Xenopus tropicalis: one gene and its partner. The protein of the gene in region 1 interacts with the protein of each later gene in a biochemical or structural test. Links are inferred from orthologs where the notes say so. Each region holds a gene or a part of one and is shown in the gene's direction. Other genes may lie near its edges.

Region 1 (3,500 bases):
ATAAACCCAATAGCTTGCAAAGTTTTATTTGTTTTTTTTTTAATTCTTATGGTTTCTGATCACCGTATGTGAAAATTGTGGTGTGCGAGTTGTGGTTTATTTTATTTATATTTTAGCTGCCAACTCTGTTTCAGAGAATATCCTTTTTGGCAATAAAATTTTCCCAGATAACTTCTCATTGTAATCACTAAAAATCCCCCAAGTATGCCATCATGCAGATGGATGCGAACACTTACAGCATATTGTGGTTAAAAAAAGTTTTTTCATCACCCACCTAACCATAGGCACATACATACCCAAAACATTGTGTATTCCGCTTTACACAATAAACCACCAGGGCTCCTATGTTGAATGGCTCCTGTGTGCGGGCTCTGATTTGTGGTTACGTTACTAATGCACCCCCATACCATCACGGATGCTGGCTTTGGAACTGTGTGGTGAAAACAAGCTGGATGGTCCTTATCTTGGCTTGGACAATCTGACCTCTAAAAAATGGGCATGAACAATAATGCACAAATAACATACAAGAGCACTCTATAGACCAGTGAAAGTATTTAGTGAGCGTCAACTGTTGAAACCTAGGGAAGGCACAAGGTCTAACTGGCCTCCCAGACTCCTACCTCTGTCCCCTGCAATCTTAATCAGTCTTAAACTCTGCTGCCAGGATCCTCCTGCTCACTCTAAAGAGGAAACCTGTTCAGCCTCACTTAAACTCTTTTGCATGGTTGCCTGTTAAGCAAAGGATAGCTTACAAAATCCTTCTGCTAACATTCAAAGCCCTTCACTCCTCTGCTCCTCACTACATTTCTTCACTGGTCTCCCTGCACATTCCTGGTAATCTCCTCCGCTCCTCTCAGAGCCCTCGCCTTTTTACACCATCCACACCCACTATACTCTCTCGTCTTAAACCTTTCTATCTTGCTGCTCTTTACCTCTGGAACTCTATCCCTGAATCCCTACCTAGGGAACACTCACCCACTCTCTTTAAGAAAAAGCTTAGCTGTTACCTTCTGGAGCACTAAAACACTATTTTACCTAGTCCTGCTCTTAAGGGCAAATGTCCATACCTGGTGCACTTTTACCTTCCAATTTGTGCTTGTTTGTTACCCAACCACTTAGAACAGTGCTGTCCAACCGGCGGCCCCCCTCTGTGTGGCCCCCCACCTGTCTGGCTGCTTTGATGGCCTACCTTTGAGTAAGCATTAAATGGTATCAGTACTGAGATTAACTGGCCCCCTGCATGGTTCTCACCTCAGATTCAGGCTGTAATCCCTCTGTATTGTTTAAAAATGTAATCCCCTGTGTTTTTCACACCTTTTAATCCCTGCATTGTTCACCCCCTGCAGTGTTAACACCTCAGACTGTAATCACTCCCATTGTTCACTTCTTCACACCTCAGACATAGGTACTGTAGGCAGAGTATGGCACATACAGCCAGCATAGGGCAGGTAGAGTATGGCACACACAGGCAGCATAGGTCAGGGAGGGTATGGCACACACAGGAAGGGTAGGGCAGGTAGAGTATGGCACACACAGGCAGGGTAGGGCAGGCAGAGTATGGCACACAGAGGCAGCATAGAGAAGGCAGAGTATGGCACACACAGGCAGGGTAGGACAGGCAGAGTATGGCACACACAGACAGCATAGGACAGGCAGAGTGCTGCCTGTGTGTGCCATACTCTGCTTACCCTATGCTGCTTGTGGGAGGTGAACCTGGCAGGGGTTTGTTGTGGGAGTTTGTTAGCAGGTGGAAATAGCCATTAAATGGTCCCTAAGGTGTGTAATTATGTACTGGGGGTTGCTCTGCTATCCACAGGGGAGGAGGAGGCATATGGAATTTAAGGGTATATCTTAATATGACATAATTCTTTCACATATGAATGATGGTTGATATCCCCACAGTAAGGACCAAGCATTTGGGATTTTGCTGTGCTACCACCATTGTGATAAAATAGGTGTGGTTTGAAGTGGGTGTGGTTTCAAAAAGGGGAGTGGTCAAAACTGGCTTCCATTAGTGGCCCTCCACCATGTATGCTAGAGAAATTCTGGCCCTCGGCACCGTAGAAGTTGGACAGCACTGACTTCCTTCCTACTTTGTCTCATACCACATGGCACTTACTCCCTGTGCATTTATATAAATTTATTATAACACTTGTCCTCACTGTGTGTAATTTTGTATTTTGTAAGATTGTACAGCGCTTTATAAATAAAGTTTAAAGTGTATATAACCAATAAAGTTGGTGGCTTCACATTTAATCTTTTATCAACACTAATATTTTTATCTGCAATTAGAGAAGCAGGAATATGCAACTCTGCAATTTCTTGTGAATCTGGGCCTAGAGCACAGCTTGTCCTTCCATCTTATAATTATAAAGGTTAAATTTCAGAATCGCCGGCTTCTGTAACATTTAGTGTTACTTCATGGTCTTTACAGGGAAGCTGCCAGGACTGCAGAGTCAGAGGACCAAATCTTTGGGCTTGTCTAGAGGTAAAATATTTGTTATCGGTTTAATTATTACTATAGGTTATTATAAATATTAACGCAGTTTACTTAAAGTATTTTGTTTCATTTGGCAGAATGGCTGTTCCTATGTTGGTTGTGGAGAATCCCATGTGGACCACAGTACTTTGCATTCTCAGGTATGATTATATGTTTTCAGATTTCTTTTCTTAAACCAATAAGTTGCCCTGTCAGCTGTGCTTCTTTCTCTCTACATGTTCTATTTTCAAATCAAGACGTTAGTTTCTTTATAGAGTGTTTAGGAATTGGTACATTTAGCTTTAGAAGTGTATTCTAGACTTGTGCATTCTCTTGCTGCTGGTTCACTGTCAGTGCCTGTAATGTTACAGTGTATATCTATTGGTAGAGGAACCTCGCACTACAGTGATTTATGTTCCAGGGTGCACAATGTGTAATATTAGGTATAAGTCAAACAAGTAAAAGAAACACAGTTTTTTTGGCACACCTGTCAAGTTTTAAAATATAACTTTTAATTTTATTTACAACTAAAATAGTTTTTAAAAATGGTAAAGCGAAAAAAAGAAAAGGAAGGAAAGATAAAATATATAGTCACACACCCCAGATCTATCCACCGTATTAGGCTTAAATGCCTTTCCAAGGTTGGTAACTATGTTATCACTTTGTTAGTATAGTTATCGAATGTTTCAACAACAATTTGCAAGTAACCTTTGTAGCGATTATTTGGAAGTTTTTTATTATTTCCAAAAGTTACAACCCGCCTTGAAAAAGCAGTAGCGAAACGCGCGTCGGCGTTTCACACCCTAGATCTATGATCCTCTGTGCCGAGGTAATAACCTTCTGAGTAGTAGGCACAGCGGATCTTGTAGCGTATATAATATATTTGGATAATTTAGACCTAGTACCCTAATTGGGGGTTAGCAGAATTGGAAGATGAGGTATAGGCGACCGTTGTGAACAATGATTATGTGGATTATGGTAACCTGTTGCCGAGGTATAGAGTTTAATGTAGTAGGCACAG
Region 2 (4,029 bases), on another chromosome or scaffold:
ATCTATCTATCTATGTATCTATCTATTTAGCTGTCTATCTATCTATCTATCTATCTATCTATCTATCTATCTATCTATCTATCTATCTATCTATCTATCTAGCTATGTATGTATCTATCTATTTAGCTGTCTATCTATCTATCTATCTATCTATCTATCTATCTATCTATCTATCTATATATCGATCTAGGGTTGGACTGGGCCAGAAAAAAAACTCAGTGGTCCCTGGCCCTCATGGGCCCCTACCAGCCCCCCACTGCCCTCCCCCAATTGCGGGGGAAGTATGAGGTAAGTGGGGGGAGGCGCTGGCGGTGAGTGGGCAGTTGGGGCCCCTGGAGTAACAGGAGACGGGGCAATGGGGATATTGGGAGCCCAATCTGAAATCCAGGCCTGTTTGAACCACTTGCCTTTCTTTCTGCCCCTTTGCCAAATTGCAATATAAAAATCAATCTTGTTGTTGGAAGGGACGGGGTCACTGACCCTGGCAACCAAAACACTGCCATTCTGTGAGGTCACAATTGTCAGACTTTTTTTATCACCATATTCCAGTACATCCCTCAAACCGCTGGCTTATAGGTAAATTGGCCCCTAGCAACCAGCTTGCTGCTAAAATGCAAAACAGCATTGAACAAAAAAAGCTTCATTCTTATAAAAAAGCGCAAAACATATCTCAGAATATTACTGTTACTTCATTCTAAACGTCCCTTTGAATAGCAATCTATCTGGAAGGTATCTGAGCCGGTTACGGAGCAGCTACCGTCTGTCAGTAATACGTTTTAATCCTTCGGACGATCGCTAATTCTATTACGCGTTACACACCTACAAGGCAGCCAATCAGCGCCCCCTATTAGAAGGCAGCCAATCAGCAACCCATGTTACAAGGCAGCCAATCAGCAACCCCTGTTACAAGGCAGCCAATCAGCAACCCCTGTTACAAGGCAGCCAATCAGCAACCCCTATTACAAGCCACTGCCACGCCCTCCCTCCACCGTCCTCCTGTTGTCCAATCAGTTGTACGGCCCGACCTCTAACTCATATACGTCACGCCGCCGGCCCCTCCTTCCACAAGTCAGAGAGGGGGCGTGTTCAGTACTTGGTGACCGCGTCCTACCTGACCGTCACAAGGCCGGAAATCGTCCAGCCAATGAAAACGCGCAGGAAATGGGAAGAAGCGCACGGCCACGCCCTTTCCTACTGTGCGTGTGGAACCGTGCGCGTCCCCGCGGTGGGGGATTGGAGCGCGTACACACAGAGCAAGCGGAGGAGCTTGGAACATGGGGGAGAGGGCGGGAACCCGGTGAGTATTTGACTCTGTGAGGGGGAACTTATATACTGCGCCTTTCCCTGTATGTCTCTGTGTGTATGTGTCGCCTTGCCATTCACCCTGCTCACTGTCTGCCTGCCTAGTAGCCTCTATATACTGTGTATGTTACCCACACACTGACTGGTATACGGGCACTGTATATACTGTGTGTATAGGTACTGTTACCCACACACTGACTGGTATACGGGCACTGTATATACTGTGTGTATAGGTACTGTTACCCACACACTGACTGGTATACGGGCACTGTATATACTGTGTGTATAGGTACTGTTACCCACACACTGACTGGTATACGGGCACTGTATATACTGTGTATCGGTACTGTTACCCACACACTGACTGGTATACGGGCACTGTATATACTGTGTGTATCGGTACTGTTACCCACACACTGACTGGTATACGGGCACTGTATATACTGTGTATCGGTACTGTTACCCACACACTGACTGGTATACGGGCACTGTATATACTGTGTGTATCGGTACTGTTACCCACACACTGACTGGTATACGGGCACTGTATATACTGTGTATAGGTACTGTTACCCACACACTGACTGGTATACGGGCACTGTATATACTGTGTATCGGTACTGTTACCCACACACTGACTGGTATACGGGCACTGTATATACTGTGTATAGGTACTGTTACCCACACACTGACTGGTATACGGGCACTGTATATACTGTGTGTATAGGTACTGTTACCCACACACTGACTGGTATACGGGCACTGTATATACTGTGTATCGGTACTGTTACCCACACACTGACTGGTATACGGGCACTGTATATACTGTGTGTATCGGTACTGTTACCCACACACTGACTGGTATACGGGCACTGTATATACTGTGTATCGGTACTGTTACCCACACACTGACTGGTATACGGGCACTGTATATACTGTGTGTATCGGTACTGTTACCCACACACTGACTGGTATACGGGCACTGTATATACTGTGTATAGGTACTGTTACCCACACACTGACTGGTATACGGGCACTGTATATACTGTGTATCGGTACTGTTACCCACACACTGACTGGTATACGGGCACTGTATATACTGTGTATAGGTACTGTTACCCACACACTGACTGGTATACGGGCACTGTATATACTGTGTATCGGTACTGTTACCCACACACTGACTGGTATACGGGCACTGTATATACTGTGTGTATCGGTACTGTTACCCACACACTGACTGGTATACGGGCACTGTATATACTGTGTATCGGTACTGTTACCCACACACTGACTGGTATACGGGCACTGTATATACTGTGTATAGGTACTGTTACCCACACACTGACTGGTATACGGGCACTGTATATACTGTGTGTATAGGTACTGTTACCCACACACTGACTGGTATACGGGCACTGTATATACTGTGTATCGGTACTGTTACCCACACACTGACTGGTATACGGGCACTGTATATACTGTGTATCGGTACTGTTACCCACACACTGACTGGTATACGGGCACTGTATATACTGTGTATCGGTACTGTTACCCACACACTGACTGGTATACGGGCACTGTATATACTGTGTGTATCGGTACTGTTACCCACACACTGACTGGTATACGGGCACTGTATATACTGTGTGTATCGGTACTGTTACCCACACACTGACTGGTATACGGGCACTGTATATACTGTGTGTATCGGTACTGTTACCCACACACTGACTGGTATACGGGCACTGTATATACTGTGTATAGGTACTGTTACCCACACACTGACTGGTATACGGGCACTGTATATACTGTGTGTATAGGTACTGTTACCCACACACTGACTGGTATACGGGCACTGTATATACTGTGTATAGGTACTTTTACCCACACACTGACTGGTATACGGGCACTGTATATACTGTGTGTATCGGTACTGTTACCCACACACTGACTGGTATACGGGCACTGTATATACTGTGTATCGGTACTGTTACCCACACACTGACTGGTATACGGGCACTGTATATACTGTGTATAGGTACTGTTACCCACACACTGACTGGTATACGGGCACTGTATATACTGTGTGTATAGGTACTGTTACCCACACGCTGACTGGTATACGGGCACTGTATATACTGTGTGTATAGGTACTGTTACCCACACGCTGACTGGTATACGGGCACTGTATATACTGTGTGTATAGGTACTGTTACCCACACGCTGACTGGTATACGGGCACTGTATATACTGTGTGTATAGGTACTGTTACCCACACGCTGACTGGTATACGGGCACTGTATATACTGTGTGTATAGGTACTGTTACCCACACGCTGACTGGTATACGGGCACTGTATATACTGTGTATAGGTACTGTTACCCACACACTGACTGGTATACGGGCACTGTATATACTGTGTATAGGTACTGTTACCCACACACTGACTGGTATACGGGCACTGTATATACTGTGTGTATCGGTACTGTTACCCACACACTGACTGGTATACGGGCACTGTATATACTGTGTGTATCGGTACTGTTACCCACACACTGACTGGTATACGGGCACTGTATATACTGTGTGTATCGGTACTGTTACCCACACACTGACTGGTATACGGGCACTGTATATACTGTGTGTATCTGTACTGTTACCCACACACTGACTGGTATACGGGCACTGTATATACTGTGTATAGGTACTGTTACCCACACACTG

Evidence for each region. The genes of interacting proteins can lie anywhere in the genome.
Region 2: of the proteins of usp33 (region 1) and arrb2, one has a biochemical effect on the other in vitro, tested with the Homo sapiens proteins (2 studies listed by BioGRID, with this or other methods). The link is inferred for Xenopus tropicalis from reciprocal best matches to the Homo sapiens genes USP33 and ARRB2.

What each region holds. Positions count from the first base shown.
Region 1 is NC_030680.2:80,329,463-80,332,962, forward strand, and holds part of usp33 (ubiquitin carboxyl-terminal hydrolase 33), read left to right. Parts: intron 1-2,434; coding exon 2,435-2,488; intron 2,489-2,577; coding exon 2,578-2,640; intron 2,641-3,500. UniProt on the Homo sapiens protein: Deubiquitinating enzyme involved in various processes such as centrosome duplication, cellular migration and beta-2 adrenergic receptor/ADRB2 recycling.
Region 2 is NC_030679.2:142,421,462-142,425,490, reverse strand, and holds the start of arrb2 (beta-arrestin-2), read left to right. Parts: upstream 1-1,229; 5' UTR 1,230-1,274; coding exon 1,275-1,297; intron 1,298-4,029. UniProt on the Homo sapiens protein: Functions in regulating agonist-mediated G-protein coupled receptor (GPCR) signaling by mediating both receptor desensitization and resensitization processes.